Kluyveromyces lactis: one gene and its partner. The main gene of each other region encodes a partner of the protein of the gene in region 2 in a complex. Links are inferred from orthologs where the notes say so. Each region holds a gene or a part of one and is shown on either strand. Other genes may lie near its edges. The genes, in order: RPB10 and RPC53.

Region 1 (12,172 bases), on a different chromosome or scaffold from region 2:
GAGCAAGACATCTGCCCGCTTAATCCCGTAAGAAAACACTTCTTTACAACATTCCTCCCAATCGTATTTCTTCATCAATTTTTGTAAGTCTGGGCATTCGAGAATGGCAGTCTTACGTCGCTTGCATCTTTCTTTAAAATCTGTTTCAGTGCATTGTATTTGCAATTGCATATATTTGCCAGCATATTTTATAGTCTTATCCTTGATATCATCCAGGATAGTGTCGGGGAAAACTTGATCCAATAGTGGTGATTTGCTGGTGTGTGGAGTCGAAGATGAAACCAACGCACTGATGTAGTACTGTGTCATCAAATCAAGGTATAAAACCGTCTGCGGTTTTAATAGTCTTCCATAAACTATTCTGGACCTGTTGGCAGTGATAAGGTCTTCCACTTTTGAACTGTCAACGTTAAAACAGAAGACCTCAATGAAGTTGTCAGCTAAGAAGCTGATACCAAAGGGCAACTCTTTCAAAAGAGTCAACAAAAACAAACATATGTTAACCTTTCGAAGAACTAAAAGGATGTACCTCTCGTGTGTCTGTATAAAAGAAGGTGACGGATGGTGGTCATGCCACACACCTGGGAAAATATGCGATACTCTCAACAGTTGAGGCTTTGTGTTGTAAAGTGATACGAGCTTTATGAATAATGCTAGCAGAGAATGATAAAGGTCTTGTTCTAGAGGAAACGCTTTTGGACTGGCATCTGATATTATAGCTAGGATAGTTCTTAGTGAATTAGCAGAGAGAAACCGAAGCAGTTGGACTGTCACTCCATCTAATAATGGAAGTGTTTTAAGCAATATTTGTGTCTTTTCTGGTAGTCTTCGGAGTATCGAATCGAACACATGGATATCGTGCTCTATTACAACATCACTCATTTTGCACAGTATATCTCCAGATGCATTCCGTAATTATACTAGTCAATTAGGTCTGTCTTAGCCAAGCAGAACCTATATCAAACCTTTGCTTCCGTGAATCAGTTTTTATAATCTCATCTCATCACCTTGGTATTGACATTATGAGCCAAGAATTACATTGACAAACCTTTTTCTGAATTTCTTTTTTTTATGCCGCTGTTTTCGAGGATAAAAATTACCTTACCCGGAGATACGACAGGTCACGTGAACCGGCGTCAGTTTTCAACCAATTATGCAACCAAGCAATATCAAATGATATAATCAGTAATGATACATTTACATAATAGTACTATAGGTATATTTATGATCTCTTGCATTCTCTTCAGAAGTAAAAAATGATGGCATTTTCTCAATCAATAGTTGCTTCCATTCGGCATCATCAAGCTAATAATAATAAGATACAATTTGTAATTAAATGATAGGTAAAAAAGACAGATTCTGACAGTTTATTGTCAGCAATGGATAGGAAACATGTACGATAAAGGTAGGTGGTATCTACCTGTTGATTTGAAATTTTTAATGATTTTATTCGAGATATCAATAAAGAAGAGCGGATTGATTTAGAAATCCGCTAATGTTAATATTACACTAGTCAATAATCTAAGTGGTGTGTTCTCATTTTAAAATTTCCGTGAGTTAAAAGAAAAGATGAAAGGAGGAGTAACAGAGAGACCACAGTAAGAGATAGGAGGTTTGGGTTGGAATAAATGATGGTGAATGTAGTCAAAAGGAATAAGTAGGGTAAAGGACAGGAAGGGGTGGAATATATTTCAACAGAAAGACAATTTTTCAAGGAAGAAAATAATAGAGTGGTGATAAAGGGTATAATTGATTTAAATAACACAAAAATAACCGATTTGAACTGAATTATTAAGGGTAGACAGAAGTATCAAAGGAAGGTAGTAAAATACAACACACGCATTAAGAAGTTAGGTGAATCGATATTCACAGGAGGTAAAAAAATAAAGTGATTCGAAATTTGATTAACTTTATTTCTTGGACTTCTTAACGGCAGTCTTCTTAGCAGGAGCCTTCTTGGTAGCTGCTTTCTTAGCAGTGGTCTTCTTTGAAGACTCCTTCTTGACGACCTTACCAGCAGAAGCCTTTTTTGAACTAGTAGAGCTCTTCTTGGTGGTGGCAGCTGGCTTCTTGGTAGTAGAAGATTTCTTAACAGCAGAAGGAGCTGCCTTCTTGGACTCAGCCTTTGGTTTTTTCACCAATTTGATAGAACCAGCAGGTCCCTTTGGTTGAGAGAAGAACTCAGTCTCCAACCCTCTCTTGGACAGCCAGGTTGAATTGGGTGTCGAAGTTTTCACCAACTGGGTATTTTTCCTTGATGAAAGACTTCAAAGCTTGCCTAGAAGAACCACCACGTTCAGCTAGAGCAACAATAGCTTCAGTAATCAATTCTGCACAAAAGAAAAAGGAACTCACACGCATGCGACGAGAGAATGTGATGCATAAGTTAGTAAAGTGAATTAACATTTCATAATGGAAGCTTAACCAATGATAGATTGTAATTTCAAATGAACAACAATAATGTGTGCAGCCAGAAAAAAAATCAATGAAGAAAAACAAACATTACAATTTTGAAGGGGTGACAAAGCATGGTCTGCTACACTGGTAGTTCATAGTATCAACAATCAACAATCTAACTAAAGCTAGGCTCCCAGTCTCAGAGCAAAGCACAGTGACGGAAAAACGAAGGAAAAAAAATAAAGTCACATACCCTTATACTTTGGCAAAGCTCCTGATTTTGAAGCGGCCTTGGATTTTGGGGACACAGCGGTCGATTTCTTAGTAGTCTTAACAACTTTGGCAGCCATTTCTGATAGTATTGTATAATGGTAGAGGAATAGGACAGTTACTTATAATATGACTGGATGCTAAAATCTTTCTTTCAATATTAAATCACAATAATATTTTTTTGCTCTCTTAACTTTTGTTTATAATTGCAGATAACGTCTCAATTTGCGGCCAGAAAAACTTCTAAATTTCACTCAATCAAACTTTGGTAACAAATAAACAGAATAGCTCAAACAATAGGGTTCAAACGATGATATATAGCTCTCTCTTTCTCTTTAAAACTTCTTAACTGTTGTTGTTGTAAATAACATGGAATGTATCTCTAAGGCTTTTTTGTTTGTTTTTTTTATATTTCCATTCAGTTCGTGTTTTGTTTTGTTTTGATTTTTCGACTCTTTTTTATTGTCTATCTGTGGGATGTGTAAAAAACTACCGATCAAAAAATAAGACGCGAATTTTTGGGTCTACTATGCACTGCACAGAGTCTAAAGAGAAAAGAAGTATCTGGGGGAGGGAAACGATAGCATTCCTTTTTCCTTTTTTTCTGTAACGTTATTTCTGACGCTTTCGCAATAATTTAGTGCTACAATTGTGTTGTGCTGTGTATGGTTAGTTAATGCATGTGTACTATAGGTTGAACAACGGTGTAGTCTTCGCTGTTTAGGGGTTAGCTTTATCATTCAATAAGAAAGCTCCCTTTTATGGGCTTATTAAGAGATGCTGAAAGTTTCGCACCTGGTCTGAACTGGAATCTTTTACCATATTACCCGGACAAACGACTGCCTCTCAATGATACATGAAAAATAGACATATATTCTAATCATGTGATTTAGAAATAGAAAAAACATCCAGCGGTGGTTACCCGGAAATGAGAATGTTCTACTTCTCTTTTCTCTGTGATGAGATGGTTTTATTATTACATATTGAAATAATAGCATATATAACAGGGAAGAAACCAGAAGATGCCCTGACGTTTTATTGTCCGTCTCTGAAGTATTACTACACACTGTATACATCAATCAAGAGTTCAACAAAGATCCAAATATATGTTTGCTAACCAGTGCCGCAGGGTGCTGTTCAGACAGCTATGGATGGGTCCAGCCAGGACAGGTGCGTTGCGATTTATGGTTAGACCATCGATAATGTCAAATGTTACTAATGATATGAAGGGTCCTTTTGCCTTGACTAACAAGAGGTTCGCATCGTTTTTCCCCAGTATGATAGGCAAGATGGTTCGTATTCCGGCTTACGTTGGGGGTGGTGCCGCTGCGTTTGGTTCATACGTTGCTTATAAAGTGAACGAAGCCGGACAATTTACACAGGATCAACTATCCAAATTCAAAGATTTCACGGGAGATGTCAAGGATAAATTGGGTGATTGGTTTCAGAGAGATGGACAGTCGGACGATGGAGGAAACAGTGGTGACAATAACGGGTCGGATGCCGTTGCAGCAGCTACTCTCCTGGCTTCATTATCAGATGATGAAAATGATGATGAAGGGAAGACATTGAAGAATCAGCACGATGAAGAGGAATCGGCAGATGGAAAACGTCGTAAAAAGAATGGAAACGATGAAGATGAGGAAGATGATGACTTGGAAGAGGCTGAGGACAACACGCAGGATGAAATGTTAAATTTAACAAAGCAAATGATCGAAATCAGATCAATCTTGAATAAAGTGGATTCTACTTCAGCCAATCTAGCTTTACCATCTATTGTTGTCATAGGGTCTCAGTCAAGTGGTAAATCATCTGTCTTGGAATCCATTGTCGGCAAAGACTTTTTACCAAAGGGTACTAATATGGTTACTAGAAGACCAATTGAATTGACCCTAGTGAACACTCCAACATCTCAAGAAGTTACTGCAGATTTCCCCACTATGAGAATATATAATTTGAAGGATTTCAAAGAAGTTAAAAGAATTTTAACGGAAATGAACATGGCTGTGCCTAGCACTGAAGCTGTCTCAGATGACCCTATCCAGCTCACAATCAAATCTTCGAGAGTTCCAGATTTGTCCTTAGTTGATTTACCTGGTTACATTCAAGTGGAAGCTGTTGATCAGCCCATAGAACTTAAATCTAAGATTCGTCAGCTATGTGACAAATATCTCGAAGAACCAAACATCATTTTGGCTATCTCAGCCGCAGACGTTGATCTTGCAAATAGTGCTGCTCTTCGTGCATCTAAAGTAGCTGATCCTCAAGGTCTAAGAACCATAGGTGTTGTCACTAAATTGGATCTTGTGGATGCTAAGACTGCTCGAGCTATCCTTAATAACAGAAAGTACCCTCTAAAAATGGGATATGTCGGTGTCATCACAAAGAGTCCAAGTACGACTCCAGTGCAGAGATTATTCGACAACAGATCTTCTGGAAGTCATTTGTTTTCAAAAAAGAAAACAGACCCAACAGAGACTACAGCTATAACTCAAACAAAGCAGTTTGAGAACGAATTTTTCAAAGAACACAAGAAGGATTTCACTGCGTGCCAAGTGAGTACGAAAAAATTAAGAGAGAAATTGATCAAAATCTTAGAGGTTTCTATGAGCAATGCTCTTGAACCTACTTCCCGTTTGATTCAACAGGAATTAGATGACGCGGCATATCTTTTCAAGGTGGAGTTCAACGATCGTCAACTAACTCCAAAGTCATATTTATTGAACAACATCGACGTTCTTAAAGTTGCAATCAAAGAATTCCAAGAAAAGTTTGGTAGAAACGATCTGAAATCAATTCTCAAAGCCGATTTGGATCAAAAAGTTTTGGACTTACTTGCTGCCAGATATTGGAAAGATTTGAACTTACCAGAGCTTTCAACATCTCAAGACCTTGAAGATGAATCCTCTGCATTGTATTGGCATAGAAAGTTAGAACTTGCACAATCTAGTTTGACCAAAATTGGTGTAGGTAGATTGTCCACTAGTCTTGTTACGAATGCCATTATTCAAGAATTAAACAACATTTTGAATCAGTCACAGTTGAGAAACCATGATTTGATAAAGGAGCTTGTTACAAACACTGCTGTCAACGTTTTAAATTCCAAATATTACTCCACGGCGGACCAAGTTGAAAACTGTATCAAACCATTCAAATACGAGATTGATTTGGAAGATAGAGATTGGTCCTTGGCTCAAGAACACTCGGTTCTACTTATTAAAGAAGAATTACGCCAATGTAACGATAGATTCAATATGATTAAAAACGCTGTTGGAAACAGAAAGCTAAATCAAGTTATTCAATTCTTGAAACAGGATCCAAATAGAAAGGAGACTCTTGGATTCTCTGCCCTACTGCTTGAAAGGGGCCATGAAGCGATGTTCCTACAAGATAGATCTTCATTATTAAATTTCAGACTCAAGTTCTTGAAGAACAAATGTTTCTCCGTGACTCAGAAAGATAAATGCCCAGAGGTATTTTTGAACGCAGTAAGCGATAAACTAACATCAACCGCAGTATTATTTCTAAATGTTGAGTTGTTAAGTGACTTCTTTTACAATTTCCCAATTGAATTGGATAAGAAACTAAGTTTATTATCTGATGAACAAGTCGAGATGTTCGCTAAAGAGGACGTCAGAATTGCTAGACATATTGAATTACAAAAACGTAAAGAATTATTGGAACTCGCTTTGGAGAAAATAGATTCTATTCTTATGTTCAGAAAATCCTATAAGGGACTGTCGAAAAGAAACCTATAATGATCACTGTATCCTATACAACCGCTTCTGGAACACTTTATAATGACTACTATTTACGAGATCACTGTATATAAACAAAACTTAATCTTAATATGTTTCTACATGGAAATATGCCAACATCTTATGTAAGGCTTCCCGTCTTTAAATAATTAATGAACTTTTTAAAATCCCAACATACCAAATTTATAAAATCAGATGAATATGCTTTATTTAGGTGATGTGAATAGTATACAATGCAATAGTACATGAAATAGAATTGTGTGCATGCGTGCATGCGTGCTTCTTGTGCTTTCTTTATTTGTCGTTTCAGCAGCTGAACAGAAGTTACAGCAAACAGATGGTAATTGAAACTCAGTGGTTTTGTCTATTCTGGAGTCCATACGTCGAACGTAATAAAATGCAAACAAAGAACGCAAGAAAACAACGCGGTAGTAACCAGTGGCAGAAAAGTGAAGACGTAATTAAAGAGAATGGACCATTTTAGTGTAGAAGGGGGTATCGCAATTGATAGTAAAAGCAGACCACCTAATCTCTTTTTTCCAAAGGATTGTATCTCAAGAACTTTTCAATCAAATCGACATGTGTTAGAATCATTCTTCTGCAACAGTATCTCTTCAACCCCAATCTAGTCAAAGCAGTACCTTCTTCTAGTTCTTCTTCTTGCAACATATTCAAATAGGCTTCCCATTTGTCACCGACAACTTTCCCACAGGAAAAACATCTAACTGGAACAATCATCTCTCTTTAAAAGTATATCGAAACGAAAAAAAACCTAGAAACCTGGAAACCTGGAATAAACCCTCCGAGATTTATAAACTATCACAATAAGTGGATCAAAACCTGCTCGACCTTTTGAAAACTCATATAATTTGCATCACAAATCATCATATTCAACCAGCTTTCTTAATTCTTAATACTTTAATTTTTCATCGGTTCCAAATTTTTCATTAGATGCCCTTATATGTCACTTCTCACGATAGAGATGACCATCGTTTCTTTTCAAATCCTCGTCCTGCACAGGTTTCAACCATAAAATTTTCCAAAACTACAATTCTACATACGGTGAAAAAAAAGAATCCACATTAGACAAATAATTGAAAAGATGCGATGAGCTTATGAGTTATATGATGAGCTTGTCTTTTGAGAAGCAGAGAAAGAAAATACCAAGAGTAGGATCAGCCAGAGGCACCAACAAGAGTATCAGCTGTTATCGAATCCACGTTAAATATGCCAAACTCTTCGTTACCAATGTACAAGCTTTCTGTTGTTTCTGGTGGGAAGGTCGCTCTTCCTAGGATTCACAATAGATCCGCGACTAGAAAATCGGTGAGTTGTCTTACTCAGGACGGGTCAGCATACATTGTCCCTTTCAACAATCAGTTCAAAGTGTATTCAATTGATACTAGACAATGTATTAAGACATTGAAATTTGCTAATAATGATATTTTGACTTCGATACTCGATGAGCCTTCTGTAGAGGTGGTGCATATCGAGCCTATTATTGACGATGAGATGGATAAGATCAGAGTGTATACCAACACTGCGAAAGTAGTTATATTGAAGTATAAGGGTAAATTAGCCACGGAGATTAAAACTTGGTCTTTGAATATTACTGGCGAGTTATTTGCAGTTCTTGGCGATGGGAAGAAATTACTTACAGTTCAGAAAACAGGGAACTCTTACAGATATGATCTATATGAAAACGTTGAAGAGAAAGAGGAAGAATCTGAGGTTAAACACCTTGAAACTTTTGAGAATGTTTTACTTTCAACTTGGTCTAATAACAATAACTACCTTGCCCTAGTTTATTTGAACCAGGAAACTAAAAAACATGTGCTGATCAAATCTATGGTCGACAACAGTTCAGTTCAGAACTTCCCAGTACCATCTACAACATCTAGTACCACCATAAATTCCCATTTTGTCACTGCTCTTGCGTTAGATAACGACGGCCAGCAGTTGGCTATTGGATTTGCATCTGGTGTTATAAATTTGATCAATCTACCTGATCTGTCTCATAGATTATTGAAATGGCATATCGACTCAGTCCTATCCTTAGGATTTACAAATGACAACGCATATTTACTGTCTGGTGGTTGGGAGAAAGTTTTAAGTTTTTGGCAGTTGGCTACTAATATGCAACACTTTTTGCCAAGATTGAACGGTGTCGTCCTGGAATGCTTACCAGTAAGTGATAAGTACTATTCATTAGTGTTACAATTCGCTGAAAATAATACAAATTCTGACTACCAGATTACATTGCTCAATGCCACAGATCTATCATCAATACTTGCCATCAACGGCCCATTCCCGGTATTTGATACCATTACAAACGATGTTGAACAGCCAATTTCTACAGTTAACTCGAAAAGTTCTGTGTCGTCATCCAATATGCTACAATCGAAGAAAAAGCAAAAGAGAAAATTACTAAAGAGGAAAAAGCATGATTTCACCGCACCTTTGTCTGTACATCCATCTACAAAACATCTCTACTTACCACACGTTTCATCTTTGCAGTCTTACGATCTATACAAAAATGAACAGGTGAGCTACCAGTATGTTACATCCAGTGTCAACAATGCAGCAGGTAAGGTTAGACTTGAGTTAACTATCCAGGACCCTGTTGTACAGGATGTGAAATTCACCCTAGATGGTTTTTGGATGATCACATATGAAGTTGAGTACCCACCTGAGGGTTTATTGTCTTCTAAGGAGTTGTCACACGTTCTAAAATTCTGGAAATTAGATGACAACAAAGAATGGGAGTTGAAAACTAAAGTGTTGAACCCACATGGTAACAACGTCCCAGTGACAAACATAACTACAGCTCCAAATAGCATAAATTCTTCCCAGGGTTGTTTGACTGCTGATAACAATGGTGGATTAAAATACTGGAAGTTTGATTCGAAACAGAATAACTGGTGTTTGAACAGATTATTACTACCCAACTACAACCATTTTTCGAATTCGGTGCAACTAGCATGGTCCTTAGATGGCTCCTTAATCTTCCACGCTTTTGAAGATAAGCTATCTACCATTGAATTCAGCGAATTCAAACTACTGGAAGATGAAAATGAGTTACCAATCGAACGCACTTTGGATACTCCAATTCAAGCTCTTACACTTGTCAACGATTCGACATTGATAATCTCCACGAAGACTTCCTTGCATTCGTTCAATTTATTGACACAATCCACCATCAGCAGTTTCGATATCTACCCTTATGTGAACGGAGTTTACAAACCGGGCCATTTTGCCAGACTACTTGCATGCGATGCGAACACTGGAAGAATCGCACTTGCCATTAACCAACAAGCAGCAGGAACTGATGGCAATCCAACCTTACAACATAAAGCCAACATTTTAATTTTCAATTCCGATCTAACAGAAAAGTTGGGCAGCTTCGAACACAACGAATACATATCGTCGTTGGTATGGAATTACGCGGCAGATTTTATTTTCATGGATATCCAGTCTCGTCTTGGAATCGTGAGCACCACAACCAGCTCGGAAATGGTGGACGAATCGAATAATGATCAAGCATTTGAATCTCTACATCCCGATTCATTCAGCGAAAAACTACAAGAGCTTACGAGAAAGAAAGGTTTGGCAAACACAGATGCTGAGGATGGTGTAGATGAAGACATAGATCTAGAATTCATTAACGGGAACTTGTCACAAAACAAGACCATTAACATGAACAGTTTTACAAGTTTGTTTGAAAACATCGACAACGTTCAAATGAATACCTTGTTTGACCGCGTCATGAAGATTATCACATAGATGTTTTATACATTGACTCGAACATACGTATGTGTATATAATACAGAGAATATTTAAACAACCCTCCATTTAATTATTTATTCTGTCACTGACAGAAAAAATACTCGATGACAGATTAAATATGGAAAATAAAATAATCTAATAACTGTAAAATAAAACAAAAAACTAATGCGACAGAGATCAAAAAGAAGGAAATCACCTCCAAAGCAAATTAAGGCAGATGTTATGAAACATAGTTCCACCATCGCATTCCCAAGTCCATGGATGTACTGACATCGCTCCACTTCTCCCGGTAGAATACGTCTTATACAACGCTTTAAAATTAATATTATATCTGTTTTCAAACTACCAATACCATGACCACTAGTCCAGTGACTCACAAATCCACTTGTATGTTGCTTCCCAGTAGAGTCACAGACCAATCCACTTTGTTGAGCAAATTCTCATGTCATCCTTTTGCTGGTCACCATTTTATAGAGAGCGGTGTGCATGCTAAATCACACTTTATCCATTTTTATCAGAATCACATAGAAACGCACGTACAAAACGGTAATATTTTCTCCCATTTTTTCCAACAGCAGCTTCGTCTTCCTTTTCCCACCCGAAGTCACTTTTTCACGACTTGTTTTTTTTTTCTGATATAAATATGAAGATGGCTTGACATTTTTTCAGAATAAGAAAATAAGAGATATTAAGGTATAATATGCTTTGAAGCGGTAAAAAGGTTTTAAGAATGTTAAAGTCTGGCATCTATCCAAAATAATAGCACAAGCAAACCAAGACACAATGGAACCGGTTATAACTTCATTCCTCGACACGGACATGTACAAATTGACGATGCATGCCGCTGTCTATACACATTTTAAGGATGTCAAAGTCAAGTACAAGTATACCAACCGATCGCCTCAGATGACGTTCAATAAGGAAGCTGTGGAATGGTTGAAGGGTCAATTCCTATTATTGGCTAATATAAGACTTACTACTGAGGAACTGAAATACATCAAGGAGGCTATTCCGTACCTGCCAGCGGAATATTTGGAATTTATATCTAACGGTGGGTTCGAAGTAAATCCAAAGGATGAAATTAAATTTGAGGCCAGGGAAATTGAGGGTGAACCTGGTCATTACGAGTTGGATATCTCCATTGAGGGATTATGGATCAAGACTATATGGTACGAGATCCCAGTGCTTGCGTTGGTGTCAGAAGCGTACTTCAAATTCGTGGATACGGATTGGACTTACGATGGTCAGGTCGAGAAAGCTTATGCCAAGGCCAAAAAGCTTTTGGATCACGATATCGTATTCAGTGAGTTTGGTACTAGACGTCGTAGATCTTTCAAGACTCAAGATCTTGTCATGCAAGGTATCATAAATGCCGCTAAGGATTGTGATAAGTCTAAATACGTATTGGGTACCTCGAACGTGTTATTCGCTAAGAAATATAACGTAAACCCTATCGGTACAGTAGCGCATGAGTGGATGATGGGTATTGCATCCATTACAAATGACTATCTGAATGCAAATAAGAACGCAATGGATTACTGGATTGAGACGTTTGGTATGGAAAATGCGGGTCTTGCACTAACAGATACTTTTGGTACCGATTCGTTCTTGAAATCGTTCTACCCACCTTATTCAGATGCATACATTGGGGTGAGACAGGACTCTGGAGACCCAATTTTGTACACTGAGAAAATCGCTCATCATTACAATGACGTATTGAAGCTCCCAAAGTTCTCAAAGATAATCTGCTATTCAGACTCTCTTAACCCAGATCGAGCAATAGAATATGCCCAAGTGGCTCATAAACATGGTCTAAAGGCAACTTTCGGTATCGGTACGAATTTCACCAACGATTTCCAAAGAAAATCTGATGTCTCAGTGAAAAGTGAACCGCTGAATATTGTCATAAAACTACTGGAGGTTAATGGGAACCATGCCATCAAGATTTCCGATAATTTAGG
Region 2 (13,027 bases):
GCTTTTAAAGAAGATGAAGAAGCAGAAACAGGCGGAGATATAAGTGAGGAAATGGAAGACGTAGATGAAAGTTTTACGCCGTTAGTGCCGGTGGTAACGGAACATTCAGAGAGGTTATATCAATATGTGTATGAGAGGTTACACCGTGAGGAGCCTGACCCTAACGATGAGGACACATGGGACCCTGTTATGGTATCGGAATATACCATTGAAATTTTTGAACATTTGAAGTTTTTGGAGAGGAAATTTTCGCCGAATCCCAGGTATATCGAACATCAACCGGAACTAACGTGGAAATACAGATCAACGTTGATCGATTGGATTGTTCAAGTCCACGATAGGTTCCAGTTGTTACCTGAGACGTTATTTTTAACGGTAAACATTATCGATAGGTTTTTATCAAAGAAACAAGTCACTTTGAACAGGTTGCAATTAGTCGGTGCAGCAGCTCTATTCATTGCTTCCAAATACGAGGAGATCAACTGTCCAACTTTGAAAGATATGCTGTATATGCTGGACAATGCATACACTAGAGAAGAGATTCTAAGGGCAGAAAGATTCATGATCAATACGTTAAATTTCGAATTTGGATGGCCAGGTCCAATGTCATTTTTAAGAAGAGTTAGTAAAGCGGATGATTATGAATACGATACAAGAACCGTGGCTAAATATTTATTGGAAACTTCCATAATGGAGCCAGAAATAATAGCAGCGCCACCATCTTGGCTTGCTGCAGGTGCATATTACTTGAGTAAAATCATTATCGGACTCACAGGTTGGTCTGACGAACACATATATTATTCCGGTTACACAGAAGAGCAATTAATACCGTTGGCAACAATGATTTTGGATTCATGCAGACATGCAACAGAACGTCACAAAGCAATATTCGATAAGTACTCGAGGAGTCGCCATAGGAAATCTGCTTTTGTAGTAGCGAAGTGGATTTCAATGGCCGAGAGTCGGTTGGAACAGAAATAAATTCGACAAAAAGAGAGCGGCTAATCATTACTCATACGCCTTCCCGACACATCTAGATAGTACTTAACTCAAAGAAAGCAAAGAAAAAGTGTCAATTCACTTCTTTATCTAATGTTATATTTCGTTTAAATTTCATTTCCAGCACAAATTTACTTTAAAAGTGAAAAGAATGAGATTATTCAGTTTTACTTTCAAAACTAAACTGCACTGTTTATTGACAGAGCGAAGAAAACGAAGGGAAGAAACGGTACAGGCAATTATTCAAGACCAATCACCATCAACAATGCCAGTCACGGCTAAACGTCCGTTATTTATTGATCGGTCGGTCGATTCTGAACTAATTCCAGGTATTGGGAATATACAGGATAGCAATGCTACCGAAATACCCGCCGAAGGTGAAAACAGAAATGTATTGGAAAAATATGCAGATGAAACCATGCATGAGCAAAGCATTAATTGGGAAAATGAAGTAGTATTCTGCTTGGAACTACAGCAGTCCAAGCTTGGAATATCTCTATTGGACATAAATCAAGAGACTTTATCGGTTCTAAATCAGGACATTATTGTTAATGCCAGAAGTTCAGAAAATATGAATGAAGTGAACTTGATTCTAGAAAATTTGATACTTGAAAATGAACCTAGCGTAGTGTTGTGTTCAAGCAGGTTAGGGGAAGTGATTTATGAAAACCTCAAATTTTTGTCAATCGAGCGCAGTTTTAGATTGCAGATGCAGTCCCATGACAAATTTAAAGTAGAATATTTTGTTCAACATTGGAACAACTTTCAAGAGTCCCAACAATTGATAGATATTCAAGGATTTCAGATCTTGGACCAATTGGGTACAAACAAAGCCGCTAAAGTGACAACCATGTCATTGAGCTGCTTGATAAAATCTATGGATCATTTCTCCGCCGTTGATTTTGACGAATGTGAGATGTTTAATTTTTTCGAAAAGGTCAATATAGTGAGACAATTAATGTTGAAGGATCGGCTCTTTCTTGATGATGATACTCTGGCGGCTTTACATATTTTTAAACCCATCCAGATACCAGGACATTTTTGTGAAATAACAAAAACCGGCTATTCATCTGTGTTTGATTTGCTCAATCACACTACTTCAGAACTTGGTAAAAGATTGCTAAAATCCTGGTTAGCCAGTCCACTATCTAATAAAATATTAATAGAAGAGAGACAAAAGGTGATACGATCTCTAATTGACGGCAAGAATGCGATATTATTCGACGATCTTTCAAATTCTCTAAAGTACATGCCTAATATATTCAGCATTGTAAATGAAATGAGCAAAGGCGCAGTAAAACTCTCAGTGTGGAGAAAATATATTTCTTTCTGTACCAAAACTGTCGAGATCATAAACTTAATCCATATTCTCTACGATTCTTCAGATAATTGCCGGTTATTTAACACCATAAAAAATGACCTTGATAAAAGCATGATGTTGAAGATATTAAAGAAAACCGAAAGTGTTCTTGATTTGGAGGGGTCCCTTAACCAAGATGCGATTGTTATAAAGGATAAAGTTCGTATAGAACTAGATGAGGCAAGAGGAACTTACTTCGAGCTTGAAGGTGTTTTAAATCTTGTGGCAAATGAGGCAAACAATACACTAATATCAACATTGCAGAGTAATGAGGAGAAGCTTTTTAAAAAATTGAACGGACGAAATGCTTTGATAAATGCGATATATCTACCACAACTTGGTTATTTACTATGTGTTGATGCATCCATAGAAGATATGTTCGATCCAGCTGTGCTATACTGGACTGAAATTTTCAGAGAACAGAATGTAATATATTACAAGAATGATGATACGAAAGTTATGGACGAACACTATGGTGACCTTCATGGAATAATATCCGATTTAGAGTTGGAGATCCTACTTGAACTACAAAATGCAGTCTTGAATACAAAGCCAGCAATTTTGCTGTCAGGAAAATGTTTCGCAGAGCTCGAGGTTTTAGTCTCATTTGCTAAGACCGCCATTAGCCAAAATTATGTCCAGCCTGTCATTGAGGAAAAGGAATGTGTAATTGAAATTGAAAACGGCCGGCACCCCTTATATGAAACACTTGTAGACACATACATCCCCAATGACCTTCGCATGCTTGGCGGAACTTTTGATAATGATACTTGGAATAATAATTTCAAAAGAATTTCTGTCATTACTGGCGCTAATGCGTCTGGTAAATCTGTTTTTTTAACGCAGAACGGACTTATAGTGTTTCTTGCTCATATTGGTTGTTTCGTTCCTGCTGATAATGCACGTATTGGTCTCGTGGACAAAATATTGACCAGAGTAGTGACTCGGGAATCTGTAGCAAAGACGCAGAGTACATTTGAGATTGATGCAAATCAAATGTCCAAGTGTTTGTCATTGGCAACGCCGAGAAGCTTACTTTTGATTGATGAGTTTGGTAAAGGGACAGATGTGATTGACGGCCTATCTATGTTCGGAGCAATTATAAAGGACTTTTCAAGGAGCTCGTCTTGCCCTAGAGTGATCGCATCTACTCATTATAACGAAGTTTTCAGTCCAAACATCCTTACTAGTGAAATTAATGGTGTAGTATTCTATAAAACCGAGATTTTATTGCAGGTGATGGAAAAGGAAAATAAAGGAAATGCCAGAGATGAAATGATTACCTTTTTGTACAAATTGAGCACCGGAATTGCCACGAACTCTTTTGGTATATTCTGTGCCAAAAACTGTGGCTTAAGGCAGAGCATTGTCCAAAGAGCACAAGAACTTACAACTCAGATAGCAGATGGATTTGACATTGCTAAGAACTACAGCAAACTAACTATCGAAGAATTGAACCAATTTAGAATTGACCAGGATATTGCGAAAGAGTTTGTAGCATGGGATCTTGATCTTGAGTCCATCCATTCTGACAAGATACAGCATGCAATACGGAGAAAACTACAAAGAATATTGGATGCTGGACAAAGCTGCTAATTCGTGAGTACTCAGAAAGCAAAATATTACACGAATGAATAATGCGAGTTTTTTTTTAATGCATGGAGTATATAGATACACTAAATATCATCTAGTACTAATTTTTAAATTTCACAGACTTCGTTAGATTCTTCTTAATACCAGTCTTTTCACCTTCATACGCACCAGATTGACCACCAGAGTAGACAGCACGCACAGATTTGAGCTTCTTTTGAGCTTTTTCGTACTTCTTTCTCTTTTTGACACGCGAATTTCTGTTGTCCTTCTTCCTTCTTGGTGTTAGACCCTTATTCTTTAGAATTTGATAGTTGATTGCACGTTTACCATCTTCTGTAATGTGTTCGGCCAATTCAGCCAATTTTCCTTCCTTAGCAGCTTTCGCCACCTCTTTGTGTGCTTGAAGACGGGAATCTTTCTTGTGTTGTCTATCAGCCCTGATGCTCTTGTAATATTCATTCTCGGCATCACGTTTAATGTCTTTGGCAGTCTTTTCATCATCCGAGTTGATATCATCCGTATTAAGATCTGCCGCATTTTTATCATGCAAGCCACGTTTTCTAGCTTCTTCAAGTAGCCTCTGTTGTCTTTCGTAAAGTCTTTCTTTGTAGGGAATATCGTCATCACCTTTGAATCTATCAGTCTTCTTACTAGCCTTTTGATCGATTTTGGAAGTGTAGAAACGTAACGTCTTCTTCCTTGTTTTCTTTTCTTGGACATCAACATCTGCAATCTCATCTTCAACAAAGTCATCAACGTCTTGTAATATCCTGTCTTTCTGAACTTTGTTTGCAGCTCTGTTCGAAAGTTCGATATCAAAGTTTTCTTCTTCTTCGCTTTCCATATCACCCTCCTCGTCCTCATTCTCATCTTCTGCCTCATCGTCACTGGCACTTGCTTCACTGTCCAGTTCATCCTGTTCTTGTAATAGTTCTTCATCAAGTTCACCAATATCCGAAATATTTTCTTCAGCGTCAGAGTCTTGCTCAAAGCGTATTGCTTCTGTGTCCGGTAGTTCGCTAGCTTGTCTCCAAATTTCTTTACACTCCAAAATACGCTCCATTACCGGATGATCTTTCATAGAAATGAAATCTTCGTTATTCTGTAATTCATATAAGAAAACTGCAAAATATGAACTAATTGTTCCAAGATATGAAGATAATGCCATAATTTTGATCTGAATCAATTCATTATTCTCCTCAGTTTGTTTGAGTTTCAGCTCGTCTAAAACGGGTGATAATTTACTGAATTCCTTTGATAAAGGAAGGTATTCTGGGAAGGATGTCTTCAAGAAACCTTCCTTTCTCTCTAAGTCCATGTTGAGAACATCCCTAAGGGAGATTTCAGTAGGACGTTCTTGATCCTTTTGATCTTTAAATTGACCTAAATCGAATTCCTTAGCTTCTTTTACCCATTCTTCATCAACTTCATCCTCAAGATAGTCTTCCATATGAAGGTCTTCCAAATGTTTCTTCTGTTGGCGCAAAGCTTCCTTTTCTATCTCTCTTGCAGTCTCTTCATCGTCCAAGTCATCGGCACCGTAGTATTCTGCCTTAGAAGCACCCCATGCGTTCTCATTGTCCAGCATAGTACCACTCTCTTCTTCTGCATTCTCACCAACGTCTAATTTCCTACCAAAAACCTTCTTATACACAGCTTCACCTGTTAATTCTTCTTGTTCACTTTCATCATCTTCAACTTCTTCACTTTCATCCTCACTATCTTCATCTGACATTCCCATCACTTCTTCTTCTTCATCCACTGAAAGATCAAAATCATCTTCTGGTTCCCTTTGATCAAGACCTGCGTCCTCAAGTAGCACTTTTTCTCTCTTGTTTGCAAAGTCATCGACCTCATTCATGCCATAGGCAACATCTTCTTCCTGGTCTTGTCTACGATTAGACCCTCTTTTTGAGACCTTTGCACCTCTCTTTGCCATATTTGAAGTACAATGTCCAGTACAATTTAAGTCCAACTCAATATACAGTCGATTACAGCGGCTGATAGTAGTTACCTGTTATGCAGCTTGTCATTCTCTTAGTTATACCTATTCTCTGAATTGAGATGAGATGAGATGAGCTTTAACTTTAAACAAAATTTTCCAACATTGCTTTTTCAAGATTTTTCACCAAAATTGAAAGCTGCACTACTACTGGAAGAGATCACAATGAGATGAGCAAAGTTGATGCGCAAATAGTCAATGCAAGGGTTAGTATCCAGTAACTAGTCTTCGTTTTCATATTAGGATTTGCTGTTGAACGAAGAAACGGTCGAGAATCGCAGTATTAAACGCTTGAGTCAAGAAGTTATTTGCATCAAATTGTGATAGGAATCAACTAAAGATGAGTGGACGTTTACCTGGATTGAACCAGGGGAAACCATCAACCGGAACCTCGCTGAAGTTTAAGCCCAAAGTGGTAGCTCGTAAATCTAAGGAGGAACGAGATGCTAACGTTCTGAAGGTAGAAGAGCCGAATAAACAGGTTGAGAAGAAGAAATATACACAGAAACCACAGGGCAACCAGAAGAGGCAGCCGAAGTATTTAAACAACACAAGAATTATCACATCAGGCCCATTGGCAGCTGGTAATTTCTCTGGAGGATCTAATAAAGGGAATAATGGATTCATTAAGACGGAGGGTTCTCAAAGCAGTCTTGTGCAACGCGGTTTGAAAGCTGTTTCTGATGATGAAGCAGAGGGATCGGACGCAGAAGATTCAAAAGCTGGGAAGAGAATTAACATGGGGAAAGAGTATACAGAGGCAGACTTCAAGAAGGAAACTGACGATCTGTTTGATGAAGATGAGGATTCTAATACTGATGCAGCCATGAGTGAAGAGACCAGAGCCTCTAAACAATTGGCCAATCTTTTCCCTGTCAGGGCAGTTCGTATCAATCACGAAAAGGTGGATTCTCTACAGAAAGTTGTCCAGGAATCCATGTCAACTTTGCAGACCAGGGAACCAACACCAGGACCTGTGAAGCTAGAACCAGAACAATCGGATGGTACTTTAAATGACATAGTGAACGAGAAGGAACAGCAGTTAAAAGAAAAACTGCGTTTGCTTCAACTTCAACAAGATTTCCAATCTGTTGACAGCGCAGAAGCTCTCAGGGAAACAAATTTGTTATTTGAGGATCATAAACATATGTACAAAAAGTTAAACAAGATTAACGACGTTCCAAATAAGTTTATGTTCTTCCAGTTCCCATCAAATCTACCTGAATTTCAGCCACAACCCCCAGTGAAATCCACCGAAGAAGATGTAAAGCCAAATGGTGAAGCAAAAGTAGATGAAGGAAGTGAACAATCAAATAGTAAAAACAGCAAAGAAACACAAATAGATTCACCTGAGCCTTTGATCGGAAACGTTGGTTCAATTAGAATGCATCGATCCGGCAAAATGTCAATCAAGATCGGGGACGTCGTAATGGATATCAGCAGGGGCGCAGAGTCTACATTTTTGCAAGACGTGGTTACACTAGATTTGGAGGGAGAAGAAGCGGAGCTACTAGGCCAAATCGACGGAAGAGCGATTGTAACACCACATATCTAATTATATAGATTTCTGCATGTACATGATAGTTGAAGAAAAAGCTCAGCAAATCAATTCGTATGATAACATTAATTTAATGTAGACAACTACATCAAGAATGGGAGATTCAAATACCACTGCGAACACAATCAGCAGCTACTGCATAGTAACCTAATAAAGATGCATCGCCTTTTCAGGTTATAATTCCTGAAATCAGAATAGTCATTAAGTACGAGTTGATGTTTGGATATGCAGGGCTCCATTACAAAACTTGTTCATGTATACAAGGATTCCCTTAAAAATGACTTCAACAAACACAAAACAAGGTATAATCGAAAGGACACTACAACCATAACCTTACCTCTCACGGTATTTAGTCAGTTGATTGAATCAACTTGAAAAGTTTGGATCAATAAAATTTTGGAAGTCTGAGTTATGACGGATAGTCAGGATAAAGTAAATGGTGGATCCAAGAACACATTTCTATCAAGAGTGTTTGGTGTGCACTCATCTGCTGTAGAAAACTCTTTGGATGCCGCTGAGATGAGCCATATTACTATGCCTACGGAACAGGATTTTAGTAACTATGCCGAGGATGAAGGTAATGTGAGGCTAATAGAATCCGATCAGGAACCATCTTCATCTAACGAGGACAGCAATGATGAGGAGCCGCTAATACAACAGCCACAATCCATAAGATTTGATACAGCATCTGATGGGATGGCAACAATACAATCGGAATCAGAGCCCGATGAGGGAGGTACAGAAGAAGATGAAGTGCACTTAGAAGAAGAGGATTTCAGCGATCAAGACTTGGCAAGCTCTGTTTCGAAATACGGACAGCCTTCAAGCAGCGAAGACGAGGAGCCATTATCAAATCGTGACAGTAATAGAGGATCTGACGAAACGATACCTTTCATAGGTAGACAACGACTGAATCTAGGTGGTAAAAACCCCATTACAGGAGCAACTAAGTCAACCAAGAACCCTTCGGAAAGCAGGGTATTCGAAAGATTGTTAGGGAATAGCCCTGCAAAGATGTTTCGCAATAACGGAAGGCCGAATAATCTTGAGGAGAGTTTTCTCTTCCGAAAGCCATCAGTCGCAGAACAATCAGGACCAGGTAAATCAACTCATTTCAATTTGAAACCTCCTCCAATATTTAACAATATTTCTACTTTGACAAGCACTTCAAAGAACAGCTTATCTTCACTTAGTCCAAAGGAACGAGCTTTATGGAAATGGGCAAATATCGAAAATTTAGACACTTTTTTGCAGCAGGTGTACGAATATTACCTAGGGAACGGATTCTACTGTATCATCACAGAGAAGGTTATTCATCTAGCTACAATCTTGTTTGTGGTATTCATTTCAACTTACATGGGCCATTGCATAGATTATTCAAGGTTGTCATCGTCTCATACTTTTGAAGAAATTCATATTGAACAATGTTATAAGACACAGATCTCTCCAACTGCAAAGGTATTTCTATGGATATTTTACGCCTTCATAGGGCTTAAAGTTCTACAATTGTATTTTGATGTGAAAGCATTGAAGGACATCCGAAACTTTTACAACTACCTTTTAAGCATATCAGATAAAGATTTACAAACTATTCCATGGCAAAGTGTGATTCAACAACTAGTATTACTTAAGGATCAGAATGCGATCACAGCAAATGCTACCGAAGTCAAAGCAAAAAACAGGTTGAGTGCGCATGACGTGGCTAATCGAATTATGCGCAAAGAGAATTTTGTCATTGCACTATATGATAACAATATTCTTGACTTATCCCTACCAGTACCTCTACTAAGAACATGTGCTCTTACCAAGACGCTCGAATGGAACATAAATCTTTGTATTTTAGGTTTTGCATTCAATGAGAAGGGCTATTTAAAGCAAGCTTTCTTAAGAGAAAGCCAGAGAGAATACCTGGGAGAGGAGTTAAAGAAGAGGTTTGTTCTTGCTGGATTCTTGAACATTATCTTATCCCCATTCTTAGTAACATACTTTGTTCTATTGAACTTCTTCAGATATTTTAATGAGTACAAAACCTCCCCAGGATCAATAGGTTCTCGGCAATATACTCCTATTGCTGAATGGAAATTTAGGGAATACAATGAATTATATCATATTTTCCAAAAAAGAATGAGATTGAGCATGATAATAGCGGACAATTATGTCAATCAATTTCCCAATACATTATTAAGCTTGACCTTAAGCTTTATACAGTTTGTTTCCGGTTCTTTTGTGGCAATCTTGGGTATTCTGACAATATTTGATCCAGACAATTTCTTAAACTTCGAAATTACACCTGACAGAACTGTTTTATTTTACATGACTGTTTTTGGTACTTTATGGGCAGTTTGTCACAGTTCTATCAACGATGAGTATACGGTTCTCAAACCAGAGGAAACACTGGAGGAACTTGTGTCGTATACACACTACGCTCCAAAGGAATGGAAGGGGAAATATCATACAGAGGACATCAAAAATGAGTTTTGTAGGCTTTACAACTTGAGAATCACATTATTACTAAGGGAACTAGTCAGCATTATAATCACTCCCTTCATATTATGGTTCTCCCTGCCAAAGAATTCAGAAAGAATAATAGATTTTTTTAGAGAATGTACCGTCTATGAGGAGGGGTTGGGATACGTGTGTAAGTACGCAATGTTTGAAGCTACTAAAATTGACAAAGGTACCAAGGCCAAAAAACAAACTAAGAGAATGTTTTCCCAAGCAGAACAGGATGATAGTGAAACCGAATCGGATGAGGGTGTTAACAAAATGCTTCAGTCATATATGTACTTCGTTGACGATTACAAGAATGCAGGCAATGCAGTGGGCAAAAATCAGCTACCAGCTTCTCCAATCGAGCCATCTTATCACCCATACAGCTCTACTAAAGACTATTCCTGGAAGACACAATTTGCCTTAGGTAAAAACTCCAATCGTAAGAGAAATCTTAATCGATCAAGGGTGAAGAGATTCCCGGATCGTAGTTCGGACCTTGAATTAGGCTCATTGAGTGGTTCACTTATCAACAAATCTACCCTTTTTAAGGATGATATTGCTGATAATGCTGACGAACTGAAGGCGGGAAATGGTGTTATGGGCCTATTAAACCAATATTACAAAAAATCAGATCGCAATCGATGATAAAGTTTATTAATGTTGAGTATAGATTATATAATATGCAGTTAACGTTTGGTATTACGGAGCTTCTTTTCACGCTCATATTTGTTTTTCTCAGCACCTTCTTCAGTACTGATTTGATTGACAATACGTGCCATCTTGGAATGGTAATCGGCGTACTCCTTCTTCTTTTCTTCAATGCCTTGTCTTGCCTCGAATCTAGTGTCTTTACGTATTTCTTTCATAGTGAACTTACGTTCCTTCTTCAATTGCGCCTTCATCTTGTTCAACTCACTTCTGGTCTTATCTGGATCATACGACTTCTTATCTGGGTTGAAGTTCTCTTCGAATTTAGGCGTATTTGATGGAATCGCCAGTGGTTTATGCTGTTGCAACGTCAATGGCAGACGTTCTTGGAATTTCAATAGCTTTTCGATCTTTTCCACTAATTGTTTTGGTTTAGAAGTACCAGGATATACTTCGGCAGCCACGTTTAGTATGTCTTTGAAGGGATTAATGATTTCTGGGAAGGCAGTAAGATCTTTCCAGATGTTCGTTATGCACCAATCAATTGATTCTAGATTGTTGACCAGCACGGACAGTTTGATAGATTCTTGCTTTTCTAGATCCTCGGAAAATAATGAGTGTAATTCTAAAGAAGGGGCGACCTTGGACCAGTTAATATCCGAGCCTACTATTGATAAATTGTCCTCCTGTTTTTCTTTGTTTTCTAATGTTTCCCCTTTGGTACTCGGTATTAGAGAACGCAAAGATGTCTGCAAGAAGTATGTTAACTCAGGAATATAACGCTTGCTTATACGTTGATACTGGATGGCGATTCTAACCAGTATCGAACCAAATATTAATTTTTGAAGAGAATTGAACCTAATTTGTTCCAAAAACTCTGCAATTAGAAGCAGACAGGGAGTAATGACTAAATGATAGTGATCCGAAGTGGAGAACAACATACCAACAACAGAGAAAAATACCAAATCTGATGGAGATAGTCCATAGAACTGGGATTCTTTGAATCTAGTCTGAATATCTGAGATGATATTTCTACAATCCTCTGATAGTGGAATGGTAAACTTTTCTGAAAGAGTCTTTAGAATGCTTACTAGTTCGTTTTGTAATGATGCAATTTCTTTCACATTAACCGAGTAATCTTCTTCAGCCAAGAAAAGTATATGTCTGAGCAAAACAGCAGTGAATTTGCCCAATTTTTCTTTGTTTCCCTCAGCCAATTTTGGTTGGTATGTTTTTACTATTCTTTTAACTAAAGATGGATGCTCTTCGATAGGATAAGATTTCAAGAAATTTAGTAAGTCATCGTGAATTTGAGGACATGGAACAGAAGGTATAACTCTTGCTGAAGGTCTACCATTTGATGTAGCGTCGTATTCATTGTCATCATTGTTATCCTTCTCGAAATCAACGTCGTCATCCGAGTCAGGAATTGCTTTGATATATTCACCATATTCGCCCTCCTCAGAGTCGCTATCTTCCCAAAACTCTTCTCCCAAATCTTCAACACCAGCATCTTTTTGATCTTCAATGTTGAAAATACCGTTCATACGATCAAGCCTTTTCTGCTCCAATTCCTTTTGTTTGTCCTCATATTCTTTCTTAATCTCTTCATCTGTTTTAGTTCTATCTGCAGGGGCAGCTCTTTTCTCCAAGACTAACTCTTTCACCTTGATATCATAATCTGGAGCGATGTCTGTGGAGGTCGAAATCTCAGTTTGAGAAGGTTTAGTCTTTGGTAACGTCCTTAATTCAGACATAATGCTTTCGAAATCGTCATCAAGGCCTTCGATATCTTGGACCAATTTCTCCTGCGCCTTTTGTCTTTCATGTTTGTAAAATTTGGATTTAGCAATGACCTCTTGCATGACTTCTGCCTTAGTCTTCTTTCTTGCTGGCTCTTGCAAAGCGTCATCACCTAACCCTTCATCTCCGTATTGATCCGCCATATTTCTTTTACCAGCTTGTTTCAACCTGAAGTCCTCCGAATCAGAATGCTGTAACCCCAAATCACCTTCATCGAAATCATCTTCCAAGGAAAGAGACTTACCATAATGAGTCAACTTTTCACCGTACACGTTTTCATCCTCACCACCATCGCTATCGTCTAAATTGAATAACGATCTTTTCGTCGAAGATTGACGTTGTCTTTCCTTTGTGAAACGTTCCAACATGATCTCCTCGGAAGTCAAATTCTTATCCTTTTCACCAAAACGTTTATCTAAGACACCACCGCTTCTGTTCTTGCTGGACTTCTTGGCTTCGTAGAACATTTTACGTTGATCTTCACCGGCTTGTTTAGTGATTCCCGGCTTACCTACTGCAAGTTTAGCTGCAGATTCCCTCATCACACCAACCTTTTTATTACGATTTGTTT

Evidence for each region.
Region 1: RPC53 (region 2) and RPB10 share a complex: the UniProt entries of both Saccharomyces cerevisiae proteins name them as parts of the RNA polymerase III (Pol III) complex. The link is inferred for Kluyveromyces lactis from reciprocal best matches to the Saccharomyces cerevisiae genes RPC53 and RPB10.

Annotation. Positions count from the first base shown.
Region 1 is NC_006040.1:572,325-584,496, reverse strand, and holds RPB10 (DNA-directed RNA polymerase core subunit RPB10), read right to left. Parts: upstream 7,164-12,172; coding exon 6,951-7,163; downstream 1-6,950. Other genes in the region: TBF1 (Tbf1p), read right to left, coding at 1-882; dynamin-related GTPase MGM1, read left to right, coding at 3,774-6,425; NAN1 (Nan1p), read left to right, coding at 7,653-10,208; NPT1 (nicotinate phosphoribosyltransferase), read left to right, coding at 10,995-12,172. UniProt on the Saccharomyces cerevisiae protein: DNA-dependent RNA polymerases catalyze the transcription of DNA into RNA using the four ribonucleoside triphosphates as substrates.
Region 2 is NC_006039.1:1,427,929-1,440,955, reverse strand, and holds RPC53 (DNA-directed RNA polymerase III subunit C53), read left to right. Parts: upstream 1-6,294; coding exon 6,295-7,509; downstream 7,510-13,027. Other genes in the region: KLLA0_C16445g (cyclin family protein), read left to right, coding at 1-981; MutS family protein MSH5, read left to right, coding at 1,151-3,955; rRNA-processing protein SAS10, read right to left, coding at 4,053-5,891; autophagy protein ATG9, read left to right, coding at 7,924-10,650; snoRNA-binding rRNA-processing protein NOP14, read right to left, coding at 10,692-13,027. UniProt on the Saccharomyces cerevisiae protein: DNA-dependent RNA polymerase catalyzes the transcription of DNA into RNA using the four ribonucleoside triphosphates as substrates. Specific peripheric component of RNA polymerase III which synthesizes small RNAs, such as 5S rRNA and tRNAs.